Astyanax mexicanus: one gene and its partner. The protein of the gene in region 2 interacts with the protein of the main gene of each other region in a biochemical or structural test. Links are inferred from orthologs where the notes say so. Each region holds a gene or a part of one and is shown on either strand. Other genes may lie near its edges.

Evidence for each region.
Region 1: the proteins of lrrk1 (region 2) and matk form a complex in vitro, tested with the Homo sapiens proteins (2 studies listed by BioGRID and IntAct, with this or other methods). The link is inferred for Astyanax mexicanus from reciprocal best matches to the Homo sapiens genes LRRK1 and MATK.

Annotation. Positions count from the first base shown.
Region 1 is NC_064423.1:27,338,760-27,346,186, reverse strand, and holds the start of matk (megakaryocyte-associated tyrosine-protein kinase), read right to left. Parts: upstream 3,080-7,427; 5' UTR 2,971-3,079; intron 2,212-2,970; 5' UTR 2,158-2,211; coding exon 2,149-2,157; intron 2,057-2,148; coding exon 1,940-2,056; intron 1,464-1,939; coding exon 1,348-1,463; intron 1-1,347. Other genes in the region: zfr2 (zinc finger RNA-binding protein), read right to left, coding at 5,649-5,822, 6,070-6,167, 6,357-6,468, 6,836-6,931.
Region 2 is NC_064423.1:9,982,233-9,990,226, forward strand, and holds the start of lrrk1 (leucine-rich repeat serine/threonine-protein kinase 1), read right to left. Parts: upstream 3,099-7,994; 5' UTR 2,949-3,098; intron 1-2,948.

The DNA of each region.
Region 1 (7,427 bases), about 17 Mb from region 2:
CTCTGAGTACTTTAAGACCCCCACACTTCAACAAATAACTTACATGCAAACTGCACTCTACCCACACCTAACCACAATGAACATGTCAAACACAGCATACAGACAGGAAGTAAAACCCCCCTCCTACACACACACACACACACACACACACATACATTCACACACTCTTACAGTTACTTTTGTGCAAACAAGTCTGGTTTCAATAAATTATATTAATTAAACCATGGCTATGGATATGGTATGATGGTCTTTAAGTGTAGATTAAAGGCTTACATTGGCCTTGCTTACACTAACTGGACCAAACTGTGATATTATGAATATTGAGGACATTGTACCTGCCCATTGTAAGCCTTGGCATTTATAAAAATAAGCATCAGTTTATTCCACAACACTGACATTATTAGTGCTATACAGGAGGAAGGCCAGTATTCCCAGTTCCCATCCTACACCTAGTTTCTGAAATCTTTCAATAAGGTAAAGCTGGTGAACCTGAACAAATTCATACATTATCCGGAGTTCACAGAAAAGATCAGCACCCAAACAGTTTTTCTAATTGTGTTCTTCTAACTGTGTTCTTCTGTGCTCCTCTAACAGTGTTATTTGCACTGTATTGTAGGTGCACTTTATTCATGCCTCTATAACAGAGCCACAGTAGATCCACCACAGCATGGGTTTGTGGATGTACATATAAAGTGAATAGATACTGTAGCCATATTCAAAGTATGGATTGATAATGTGGCCCTAAAATAATATCAAATGATTCAGGCTGTTTTTGCTAGAATAATATTTTTGGCAATGTGAAAGAAACACTGCAGAGTATGCATTTTAATGGATGCATAACATTTTAAGTTTAAGAGTAAACAATAGATGCTTTTAATATAGAATACTGCTATTATCACCATATTGATTTTTAGATTCCAAAAATACTGTCAAGATATATTGTGTACGATAAGATATGGCAAACCCTTACTATAAAATACCGTTTGGTTTATGTGGTCTACTGAAAAAATTGGCAACTCTGCAGAGTACATATTGGGGATTCACTGAATATTTGATAACCAAAATTATTCTACAGAACATGGCAGTTCAGACAAAAAACGTGACAAAAAAAAAGATATAAAGAACAAAGATCATTTAATTTAAAGGCAAGACAAAATACATTAAGGCAATTTCATTCATGCAGTGGTGAAAAATTAGTGTTAATTATTTGGTATTTGGCCTTCAGGCAAACTATTTCATTGTCTTCCGTTTCGGCCGAAATGTTTATTTTCGTGCATCTCTAGTAAATTTAGTGGGTGATCTAGAATCAAGTATTTTTTTTACAGATTTATAAATTTACAGACTTACGGCATAAGGCTAAGGTTGGGGTCTACACGCAGGACCTCCCGCTCTCGCACTTTAGAAGCAGAAAGTACACCCTCTTCACCTGTTCTGTTGTGTCTGGCTCTGAAGATAGACTTTCCCTGTAAAAATAACAATGTATAACAATGTATTTCTTCAGCTGCCATTACAGCTTTATAATAGAGTACATCTGGAAGACCACTTCTAAATAGAGTCTGCAATCATTAAATTTAATGATTTACTGTGTCATAAAAAACCCTGACCTATCTCGGATGATTCAGTCAAAGTTGTTTAGATGAATTAAGGCCTTCAAAAAACATGGATAACTTTGATAAATTGGCTCACCTTCAATATGATGTGTATTTTAATAAATATAGTAGATTACAAACAGAACAAGCAATATTACAAACATATTGTAGTATTTTGTTGGTATATCGTTAAATTTAAAGAAGCAAGAGTCGTAATAACCATCTGCAGCAGTTCGATCTACAGACAAGCAGCAGTTTATACCAGCTATAGGTTTAACACTTATGGTGCAAGGTTGCACTAAACAGGTTGAGGAAGTTCGTAGCCACGTGACAAGGAATCAAAAGCATACCGTTTCCAAAACATCCAAAATTGTAAGGATGTCTCCTTTAAGATAGGCAATCTCATTCCCTTTAGGCTTGGTGTGGTCACACTTGGCGACACACTGCGTACCAGGTTGCCACCTTTTCTATAAGGATAAAAAAGTAGAGTTCATTCACAACTGCAGAAGTAAGCAGTGTAACAAAAAGTAGAACCACTGTAGAGTGTGTGTGTCTTTACCGCAGCCATCCCCAGTGAAGAAATGAACAGAAAAATTGAACTTGGCCAGAAGCATCAGATTTCCTATAGAGTAAATACAAACAAGAACAAGGTATTGAAATTTATTATAATATATAATTTTTGACCACTTTTAAAAAGTCTTGTTTTGATTATATGAGAAGAAGAGCAGAGCACCAGTGTGCAGGAAGCAACAGGGGGTAAAATATAAATCACACGTTTTTGTAAGTAAACAGTTGTGACACGTTTCGTCCATCTTCTTGTATTTATATAACATTACATGTTTCTCTTAGTTGCTGTAATACAATGTTTTAAAGTCACAGTGAGGCTAATGTACAGCCACCTCACTGTGAGGTTAGTTTATGCCCCTAAAAAATATTTTACAAACTTACCAAGTTTAATGTAAAATTAAGAAATGAATTAGAAATGTAAAGATACTAGTTATGCTCACTTCCATAATATATATGAATAATATACTCAGTACTTATTTTATGTAGCTTTTAGATATACTTCTCCCTTTCTTTTTGTTAGATGTTGGCTTATGCTTGTGTTTATCATTGTTGGCTGTAAAGATTACCATTTTTATTATACAACAATAGCAACAACATGTTATAAGTAATATGCAGCACTTAACAAATTACTTGCTGAACTTTATCATTATACTATACTCAGCTGGTGGGCTATTATTACTTTACTATTATTGGTTACATTAGAAAAGCTTGAAGCCAGAATCAGCAATATCCTTCCAACCTCTTGTAACACGGTGTGTTGAGTTAGTCTCGCTGTGGTTTATTGTTTAAAGATTAAGTGTTTAGTCTGACTTACCGGAGCTGCAGGAAGATGTCAGGTCAGTAATGGAGCAGAATAACCGACTGCAGGAAGAGTTGAAGTGTTTTGAGGAAGATGCGACTACACTCACCCTTTTACAATTCGGCAAACCCGCCTTCACGCGGTGTGATTGGCTAACTAGGACCAGCCAAGCAGCCGCCTGCGCTCCTACTTGCTTCTGGGGCCCGCCTTCCAGGCTCCGCCTCTACAGAGCCACTGTTGGCTGCAAGGCTCCGCCTCCTGCGCTACTGTTGGCTTATTAGGGCCCGCCTCCTGCGCTTCTAGTTGATACTAGGCCCCGCCCCCTGTACGTCTACTTGCTACTAGGGTCCGCCTCCTGCGATACTGTTGGCTGCTAGGCTCCGCCTCCCGAGCTGTGATTGGCAGGTTGAGTCCTGCACTTTTTAACGCAGAAGGGTGAAAACAACCTTCCAGACACACAAATACACTCACACTTTTTTGTGTTTAATATACGTTTTAGCACTACAGAGACATTTACAAAAATAAATAAGCCATTATACACACTACTAAACATTCTTAAAAACGATTGTTAGTTTATTTTGTGAGGAAAAGAGCAGGGCACCAGTGTGGGAAAGTAACAGTTTTTTGGTCTTCTCGTATTTAAATAGCTTTACTATTACTATTCAGTTTTTCACAAAATTAATTCCTATAAATCTTCCTTTTAGTTGCGACCACTTTTCCCTGTCACAATTCGTCAAAATGTGTCTTCCCGCACTGTGACTGGCTATAGCAGGGGTATTTAATTCAGTAGTGTTTTACTTTCTTTTTCTGGTGCACCATCTTGATTAGCCTTTCTTGCTTTATCCTACGACTGCAACTTCTCACTGCCTGCTTTCGCCTGTGCATGCTCCGCGCTCCTGCATCTGCACAGATCTGATTGGCAGAGGAGAGCATTTGGTGATCTTACAACACACGGGATTGGTCTGCGAGTTCACTGCGCCACAAAGCACGACAGAAGACAGAAACGCTCAGTCGCTTTAAATGTACAATGTCAGAATTAAATCCTTCTCAGTAGTTCATCGGTTTGGGTCCGCATTGGAAAACGTCTGGGTCCGGACCAGGGTCCGCCTATTAGTGACCTCTGAGCTGACCAACCTCCTGTGCTACTACCGTACAAACGGTGCTGGCTACTATTGGCTACTAAGACCCTCCTTCTGGGCTACTGTTGGCTGCACATCCTGCTCTGTATTTGGCAGGTTAAGACTTTTTAACAGCAGGGTGACAACCATAGACATAATATATGTATATTATATTATAACTACAGTGAAAACAGCCTTCCAGACACATAAATAGACTCACACTTTTTATGTGGATCTGATAGTTTATTATACTTTTTAGCACTACAGAGACATTTAAAAAATAAATCACGCCATTATAAACACTACTAAACATTCCTAAAAACGATTGTAACACTCCATAATCAAAGAACACAATAAAACCAGTGAAACTAAAGTCAAAAAAAGAAAAAAAAAAAACAGAACAAAATATACTTTATATAGAAATGCACAGGATGTTGCATCCTCAAATATAATAATAATAATAATGATAATAATAATAATAATAATAATAATAAAACTATTGCATTATGTTATCACAGTATGAAATAACTAAAATATTCACTCATCTTCTTCACATTTCAAGTAGACTTTAATTTGCCCGTTTGAACTCCCTTAATTTCAGGCACAAGGAAGAGAACAGTAACATCATCATCAACATCATCCTCACCATCATCATCGCACTTTCAGAACAAAAGTGTGTAAAATCTGCTTTCTCCCCTCCATACAAATCACAAACAAGCTGCTATGACACGAACACCCCCTCTACCTCAGTCATACTTTAAGAGCTTCACAATATATGATATATTTATGTGCAAAAGAGAAAAAAGAAAAACAATTGCCACTGAAACAAAAATCACATGAACCCTTGATTAATTTACTGGTATTGCCCCAACAAATGTATTCTAATTTTCAACCTTAGTTGTTTGTTTCACAAACAACTAGACAAAACTGTTTCTCTTTTTGAGAACATTTCTTACAGTATTGAACCTTTTTTCACTTTATAAGCTGTCGGTGGAGTTTTATTAAGTCCTATACGTCTTATGATTGAGTTTCGGACTATGTAAACTCAAATCTCTTTTCAGTGATATACATTAGGGATTGGTTTTCCCAACACATAAATTAAGCCTAGTCGTAAAAGTATTTACACTTTTAGTGTAAGGCTAGGCTGGACCCATAATCTAAGGTCTTGTGTAAACATCAAAATAAAAATAAAGCAACTGGCCTCTATTTAAGTGGTTAAAGCTTTTAGTTTTAAGTGCTATTACTGAATAAATGTGCCTACATCAGGTTAGTAACAGTGTTACACACTGATCAGTGATCTTATAGTAGCAGTATTTAGATGCTTTCTGCTACACCAAACATGGAATGCATTTTTTTATTTTGAACATCATCGTTTCCTAAATCTATTCTTAGTACAGCAGTAATAAAAAGAGGAAAGGGAGGGATCATTTCTTAATTTCTTGCCCTTTGCGTTAAAACTGCAGAAATGTCAAGACTGTTACTTTTGCCCATTTTAGTGACACATATTCATTTATTATTTCTAAGAGAAAATAAATAATGACACATAATAAAGATGCCAGTAAGTTCTGGTATATTTCAAGCATCTAGTGAATCATCTTTTTTGTCTTTCTTTCCTTCGCCTTCCCCCTCACATATGTCTGTACCATCTCTTCGTCTTTTGCGGTTTCGAGCACTGGCCTTGGATGCTGGCAGAGATTCGATTCCCAAAACTTTATGGACCTGACGAAACGCTAACAACCGCAGAGCATGCTGAAAGACAGAGAAATACACTGCTTATCATCTGCTTTTATACAGGTTCAGGACATTTCCAGATGAGTAATAGTGCAAGACATTTTTGAACAAAATATGAAGAGCTTCTTAAACACAATATAAAGATGCTCAGTGATTAAAATCCAAAGATAAGAAGGTTTAAAAATAAAATCATCTGAACAGTCATAGATAGGTCATTCTTACTCTTCTAGAAATTAAAGTGATCTGATGATAACATTTCAAATACCTGAGCGCTTGCAGTTACATCTTCTCTAGCTTGTTTAGTCATGCACCCCAGCGCATCCGTCTGGATTTTTTCACAGGGGTCAAACAAGCCTGGACCATCTGAAAGGAGAAAATTGGACTAGTGAATAAAATTATCAAGAGTGACTGAAATTAATCAGCATGTAGTCATAGTTATTGAGTACTATTAATCATGTAACAACTAATGATGATATTCAGTAAATATGTTAGTTCTATAATTACGAGCCTAAGTTAAGTAATATAAAGGCCGCTTTATACATTGTTTCACACCTTGAAGGAGGATTCCGCTTGCTATGCACTCCAGAACCCTCCGCATGGCCTCTCCTGGACTCAGAGGACCTGATGCGCTGCTGATAGCTTTCTCCACCATCAGCTCCATGGCCTGCAAAGAGTTTTAGGAAAAATGAGAGATGATCATCTTCTCTAGGTTATTACAAACAGAAGCTGGTTAGCCTCAAAACTGTTTTGTAAGCTGGTTTCACTAATGGTTGATGTGGTTATATGTAGAGTCCCACTGCTTGTTATCATAAATGCATTATGTATGTGTCAACAGGTTACTATAAACCTAGAGAGAGTTCTAAAACCTAGAATACCGGCATATTGCTGCCCACAATGAGTGCATCAGCTTTAGTGAATAGACCGGTGCATCGTGTTTCTACACTGAATGGCTGTATGCTAGACATGGCAGACTACAATACCCACAATTCAAAATTCGAAGCAAGCAGGTAGAATAAAGGTTTAGCGCTCACCCAGGCTGGCATCTTTCCCCAGGTGGGCACACGCTGGCAGAGATCTCTGAGCAAACGGATGATGATTACACAAGACTGGAGACCATTGGCACGAGCCTGCAGATAAAAACAATACGAATTCATGCATACAAAACCAGCTGAGAAGCTCATTTCCACACAAGGATGGTTTCAAGATGTGATGTTTTCGTTTAATCAGCTGGTTTGGTTTTACAGTGTAAACACAAACAAAAATGAAAAAAAAAAAATATATATGTTTATCAGTTATATACTCTACAGTTCTGACAGGAAGATTCATACAAGTTTAGACTAATTATGAAAAAATGGACAGAAGAGCTAGAAGAGCACATTAACAATTTTATATTCCATTTCTAATCTAAGTTCACTGAATGCTAAAAGTATTGTTTAAATTAATTTTTATATACAATTATAAAATGTATACAATTTTAAAATGCCATTAAACTGACAATAATCATCACTACTGAAATTATTTCTAGGACAATACATCATCCAAAAATTGTGAGGCCTATTTTAAACCAGTGATGATCTTGTGGCAGTTAATTTTAAGGTTAACTTTTAACTAATGGAGATTTAT
Region 2 (7,994 bases):
CTGTAAACCATAATCAGAAACAACAAAATAAATAAACACTAGATAGATCACTCTGTGTGTAATACATCTATATAATACAAGTTCATTTTTAACTGAAATAAAGTAGCTTTTCAAGGACATTCAATGTTCAGGCATCAGTGAGAAAGTTGAAGTTGGGCCGGGGCTGGATACTTCAACAAGACAACGACCCTAAACACTAAACACTGCTTAAAATCGACTAAAGCATTCATGCAGAGGAACAAGTACAACGTTCTGGAATAATCATCTCAGTCCCCAGACCTGAATATTATTAAAATCTGTGGTGTGATTTATTTTTTAAGAGGGCTGTTTATGATCAGAAACGATCAAACCTGACTGAACTGGAGATGTTTTGTAAAGAAGAATAATCCAAAATACCTTCAACCAGAAGCCAGACTCTCACTGAAAAAAGCTATAGGAAGAGTTTAGAGGCTGCATTTTCTGCATAAGGAGAATCTACTAAATATTGATGTATTTTTTTCTGTTGGGGTGCCCAAGATTGTTGCACACTTTCTGTAAATCCTATAAACTTCATTTCATTTCTTAAATATCACTGTGTTCACCCGCTATATGATATATTTAACTGCAATTGCTGATTCGAACAACCAATGATTTATAAAGGAAAATCATAAAAATTATCAGGGGTGCCCAAACCTTTTCATACAACTGTATATGCTGGACGTTCTATGTAGCTGCATTAATTGTTTGTTCAACATTAAGCTTGGTGGAAAAACAGTATTTGTTTTGGGTTTTTTTTTTTACCCTCCAGTTGTTTTCGTAGGCCACTTTCAGTCCTACTGGTTTAGCTAGTACTACAGTACAGTACAGCTTCACTGTAACCCAGTGTGGTTGTGGCTGGTGTACTTCAAATACTGCAGCCACCAATCTCTGCTTTAATAGCTATAGAGCTAGGTGTGAAGTGTGTGTATATCTAAAGGTGTGAAAAAAGACACAAACAACAGCAAAATTACGGAGCCCGGGAGGGGCCGTGGATAAAAAAAACAATTAAATCGAGTGAACGATGTAGCAGTTCGTGCTCACGTTTTCTTTAATTAGAGTGAACGATTTGCAATTCGTGCTCACGATTTCTTTAATTCGTGCTCACGATTTCTGTAATTCGTGCGCACGATTTCTGTAATTCGAGTGAACGATTTCTGTAATTCGTGCTCACGTTTTTATGCGCAATAAGACAAGAAGCTCGGAGGGAAAGGAGCATTTTCTCTCTTGATCTGTTACAGGGGTGCAGTAATGATAATCAGTTATCTACCTTTATAACCTGCTGTTATTAATGCACTAGTGTTACAGTTAGATGTACAGTACAGTGAGCAGATTTTGCCTGGTGGTGGAATCTCTACAGCGCGTGGGGGAGAGCCGTCCGCGGCATCGGTTCCCCCGCCGCCAGACACCTGCCGCGCGCGCAGGTCTTCACGGAGCTTATTTACCAACAATGTAGACAAATACAGTCAATTCCAGTCATGATTAAAGGAAACAAACATTACTAATGCAGGATAACTGTGTGTTATTAAAACCAGATCAAAACAAAGTTATAATGCAATGTGGAACTGTTTATAATTTCTTATTTTCAACAATAGTATAACGTAAAGAAGTATAATTATATAAATATACAGCTATAAGACTTAGGTCCAAATGTACACTGTAAAAGTTAATAAAGATAATACAAAATTAATGCAAGGTGTGACAGTTGTCTATGAATGGCTCATATAAGAGCTGCTTTAAATATGTAACACTATATAAAATCAAAATAGCTGGTCTAAAATACTATTAATACAATGTATTAAGATATTTAGTAAATAGGCATTTCATATAATAATTTGGATCAATTTGATAATTTATTCCAATATGTTTCCTAAAATAATTAAGTTTCTATATCTGATGAAATGTCCTGAATATCTGCTTATTCTCAAATCACAGTGTCCTGCCCAGAAACATGCCACAAGCTTCAAATAAAAAAAATATAATAATTATAAACTTCTTAAATGTATATTTTCTGAATTATGTGTTTATTTATTATACAAATTATTAAAATATAGATTAAATCTATCATAAAAGTAATAATGATGTAACCAGATTTAAGAAGGTGTGCATTTCCTTGGAGGCTGGCTGAATGTTATTTAGAAATTAATAAACACATTTGCACATTGCATTATAACTTTGTTTTGATCTGGTTTTAATAACACACAGTTGTCCTGCATCAGTAAAATGTTTGTTTCCTTTATTCATGACTGGAATTGACTGTATTTGTCTACATTGTTGGTAAATAAGCTCCGTGAAGACCTGCGCGCAGGGCAGGTGTCTGGCGGCGGGGGAACCGATGCCGCGGACGGCTCTCCCCCACGCGCTGTAGAGATTCCACCACCAGGCAAAATCTGCTCACTGTACTGTACATCTAACTGTAACACTAGTGCATTAATAACAGCAGGTTATAAAGGTAGATAACTGATTATCATTACTGCACCCCTGTAACAGATCAAGAGAGAAAATGCTCCTTTCCCTCCGAGCTTCTTGTCTTATTGCGCATAAAAACGTGAGCACGAATTACAGAAATCGTTCACTCGAATTACAGAAATCGTGCGCACGAATTACAGAAATCGTGAGCACGAATTAAAGAAATCGTGAGCACGAATTGCAAATCGTTCACTCGAATTAAAGAAAACGTGAGCACGAACTGCTACATCGTTCACTCGATTTTATTATTTTTTTTATCCACGGCCCCTCCCGGGCTCCGTACAAAATAGTGAAACAAGACAAACAATAAGATACAGCAACTGGATAGAGCAGTACACTCTGTCCAGCAGTCGTAGTTAGTCGTAAACCCTGCTTTAAAGTCGTGTATTACACTCAGTCAGCTTCAGCCACGCTGTAAATAACTCCCAGCTTTAATAAAGTCCAGCAGCAGCAGAGCTACTCACCGATATTCCGGCTCCATAAAGCGCAGTCTGAGCTGGTGTGGAGAAAGTAAACAGCGTGTATAAGCGCTGAGCTCCAGTCTGAGACATCCAGCGTGCTGCTCTCTGATCCTCCAGCCGCCTGAAGGACTTCCTGGTGCAGTTCAGCAGGAGCGCAGAGCTCAGACAGAGGGAGGGATTACACTCAGATCTCAGCCATATAATCCACCCTTCTCAATCCGTGTATCATTCGTTCATTTGATATTCAATTGAGAATCAAAATCGGAAAATTAAAAAACCAATTCGTTTTTTCGTTTTTTCGTTTTTGAATATAATACCAAAAAACGAATAACGGCTTGTATTTTGTATTTTTATTTGGTTATCCAAACAAAAATTGGAAATTTAAAAAACGGACCAGGAGCCGAATTTGATTTTGATTTTGAACTTGACCCATTTGTGTGCCCCGGAAGTTACTGATTTGTTTATTCTTGGTGGGTTTCTGTTGCGCGGGAGTTCACTGCAGTGTTATCTACACAGTCTGTATTGCTGTAGGCTTTGGATGGAGTTGAGGATGGAGAGTTTTATCTTGTTCAGAGGAACTAAACGCGTTGCAGTGAAAGAAGACGATATGACAACAGAAAAAATCGGCAGGATCTTTCAGGTGTTTGTCTAACGTTCCGTAGCTAAATGTCATATTTAGTTAATACCTTCAAAAAGATCTTTAATTAGGCCAGAATGTGGTTCCAGTCCGGCCATGCTGCCTACAGCAATACAGACTGTGTAGATAACACTGCAGTGAACTCCCGCGCAACAGAAACCCACCAAGAATAAACAAATCAGTAACTTCCAGGGCACACAAATGGGTCAAGTTCAAAATCAAAATCAAATTCGGCTCCTGGTCCGTTTTTTAAATTTCCAATTTTTGTTTGGATAACCAAATAAGAATACAAAATACAAGCCGTTATTCGTTTTTTGGTATTATATTCAAAAACGAAAAAACGAAAAAACGAATTGGTTTTTTAATTTTCCGATTTTGATTCTCAATTGAATATCAAATGAACGAATGATACACGGATTCTTCTCCCATCATACTCCTCACTCCTCCTGAAAAAATATTAAATATTTATTTAGTCATTAAAAAATCCTTAAAAAAACACATTTATGTACTGTTTAGACTTTAAAAAATAAATAAAATCATTAATTAATAAAATAGCAAAAGTGTCTATTTGAAAAATATTTAAAAAATATTTTTTTAAAGATCTAAACACATTTAAACAAATAAAAAATATGAATACGTATATTTATTTAGTAAAATAGCAAAAGTTTCTATAAAAAAAAAAAAAAATATATATATATATATATATATATATATATATATATATATATATATATATACTTTTTTAAAGACCTAAACATATTTAAACAAATAAAATATGTTATATTTATCGTATATTTATTTAGTAAAATAGCTAAATTATCTATTTAAATTTTTTTAAAATATATATATTTACGTTTTTAAAGACCTAAACATTTTTAAACAAATAAAATATATTAATACATACATTTATTTAGTAAAATAGCTAAAGTATCTATTATATATATATATATATATATATGTATCTATTATATATATATATATATATATATATATATATATATATATATATATATATATATATTTACTTTTTTAAAGACCTAAACACATTTAAACAAATAAATAAATATTAATACGCATATTTATTTAGTAAAATAGCGTCTAAAAAGTGTATATTTTAAGTGTCCAGTGCAGATAAAAAAAAAAGGATTTATTTATTTTTAGAATATATTACTGTAACTATTTTTCAAGAGACTTAAACACATTTACATTGTGGTTATATTTTTAAAAAACTGCAGCGAACATTTTTTTTATATTTTATTCTATTTTATTTTTTAATTCTTTTTAAAATCTCAGCAATTCAATCCACCTCTTTACTAGCTCACTTCACACTCACACTCATATTATACTGCTTCAGCTCTCAGACTGCGCTCAGTTTAGAGCTTTATGACCTGGAAAAGCAGCGAGCAGAATCACGGAGCTATTTACAGAGAGCAAGTGCTCCAACACACACCATGTTTAATAGATGTAAACACTACATTTAGGTCTTTAAAAATTTTTTTAGACTTTTTATAATAAATAAATTAATGTAGTATATTAGTTAGTAAAAATAGTAAACATGATTATTTTAAGTGTCCACAATTTAAATTAAATATTAAAATTAAATAAATAAATATTTATTAATGTATTCATTTATTTAAAAAGTATGTAAATGTGTAAACATATTAATGTGGTGTTTAGACTTTTTAAAATGAATAAATAAATATTAATAGGTTTATTTAGTTAATAAAATAGCAAATATGACTATTTAAAAAATGCCCAGTGCAGATGAAAGAATAATAAATATGCATTTATTCATTTAAAAAGTCCTAAAACACTAGTCCTAAATTCATCTAATGTTTAGACGTACATACTTTAATAATAAATTAATGAATAAATAAATTTTGTAAAATAGCAAAAGTGACTATTTTAAAGTGTCCAGTGCTGATAAAAAATATAAAATATTTATTTTATATTTTATTATTTAATTATTTATTTATAGTGTGTATTTATTTTATATAAAAAAGACCTCAACACATTATACAGTGGTTAGATTTTTTTTTAAATCTGCAGTAGAATGTTTTAAATATTTTTATTCTATCTTATTTTTTATTCATTTTAAGTCTTTTTATTCCTATATCTATTAGCTAATAAATCGTTAGCTAATGAGTGGGTTGGTATCTGTCGTCGGTGGTTGAGCCTAAATAAAACAAATGAAAACAATGATAGGATATTAATTGATGATCCTGGAGGTTCTTTTCCATCTCCAGCTCGTCCCTGTGTGCCTGCAGCCGAAACCTGTTTCTGATCTTACCAGGTAACAAAAAATCCTGTTTTCTGATTTGTCGATTGTTCACTAATTCAAGCTCGCTGTAGCGCATAAGGCCATGTGTGGAGTGTGAACTTGTAGAAAAGACATGAGAGTCCTCCTCTGCCTGTATTTCTTGGTCCGGGAGGTCCAATTTTAGAGATTTACCTGTTCCCAACACACTAGATCCAACTGATCAGGTAATTAAAAGCTCGTTATTAAGGTCCGTGTGTTAAAGAAGGAAATCTAATAAAATAAAAAATGACCTGAAAAAAAACTCTGCCTTATGTTGGTTAACCATTGAGTTTCTTGGTCATTTTGGACGACCAACGTGGCTTTGCTTCACATGCTGGTTTACCAGTGTGGGGAGGAGGGTCATGTTGGTTAACTAGCATGTTTAAGCTTGGTCATACTTGTTTGTGGGGTTTAATCAGGTTGATCGTATTGATAGACCAGCTAAATCAGTGTTTTTCAATCCTGGTTCAGACACACCCTGCCCTAATCATTTTATTGCTTTACCTCTTACAAACACACCTGATTCAACCAATCAGCTCATAGACCACTGAAGTCCAATCCTTTTTTTTTGTAAAAACTTGCCTCTACCACATTCTGTGGTAAATAAATATGTTCAGAACCCTGTACATTTTATTATGTTTTACATTTACCTCCTGAACATCACTGGATCCTCTAAATTTCGAGATCGTTTAAGGGTAGTAATTAGAAAAATGCTAACTTTAAGCTAATGCTTAACTAAGGTCACAGCACAGCTGCAGGGAGTGGCAGAAGACTCGATTCTGCACTACACCAGCGAACTCCGCCCGGATCGCATTTTGGATTATTATTCTTTAGAGAGGAACATTAAAGCATTTAAACAGGTGAAACACTTTCAGTATGGTGATGTTGAGCAGTGTAGCCTCTGTGTTAGAGATTTAAAAGGCAGATAATAAGAAAAAGTGAGCTTTAGCTGTTCAGTGATTTAGTTCAGGAGCTGCTGCAGGTAATTCACACATTGCGCAAGGAAAAAAAAAGCACCCGAGAAGAGAAAAATTAAGCTTGAGAGCAATATTTTCTTCAGCGCGCACACGGTTCCCTTTTTTTTGCTAGTTTCACATTTGTGCTCACGAGAAGTTAATTTACACACGCAAAATGTTAAAAAACGTTGGTTATTTTTTTTCACCTGGTATTTTTGCGCCCCCGACTTGTATTTTTAGGCCCTCGACTTTTGACATTGATGTGACGCCTTTAAAACCCACATTAAGCCTTTTTACGTTAAGTATTTTAGACTCTATGGTTCTTAGATGAGCTAGATTAGCTTTGTGGTTCTGGAGTTTCTAGTTTCCTGCTGTAACACACAGCTGGGCCGTTTCTCAATCTGCGTTTTTGTCTGTACTTGTGTTCTTGTGGACTCGGGAAACGTCATCAGTCGCAGCCCAAGTACTGTTCCAATTCAGAAGATCGCAGTTTGCCAAGTACACAACTAATACCCGGATGTGTTCTTGCTCCTCCCACTTTATCGAGGATGCATGGAAGGTGACTTGTGTGGACTTGTGTTCTTACAGCCTGATAACCCAGAATGCACCTCGCAGCAGTATCAGCGTAATGCAGGAGGAGAAGGTACATAACTGTAAGCACCTGTACGTTTTAAAGACAGTACTGCTGTGTGCAAAAACAATGTTTTAAGTTATTTTTAGAATGCGAGAATGTAGGGGTTTAAACTTCAGATATGTGGTTTATTTGTTAAGAAAGCGGCTAGGTGAAAATGTGCTCATGTTTTCGGAACAACGCTTTCCGCTCCTCTAAGAGGGTGACGTCATCAAGTACACAGCTGTTCCAAATACACAACAACCGTCCCACTTCCTCCCGTCCTCGGGAGTCCGCACTTTCCGTACTTTCCAAGTACGGGAGTACAGACTTGTGTACTTGTGTATTAAGAAACATCCCTGGTCTCAGTGAGGGCAGATAGTTAGTTGATTAGTTAGTTAGTTAATTAGTTGGTTATTTGGATCAGGTGTGTTGTAATTAGTATTAACCACTGACCGTAATTAAATACTAAACCCAGCAGGGAAGTGCTGCTCCTAAACTGAATCACTGAACAGCCAAAGCTCATTTTCTCTTATTATCTGCCTTT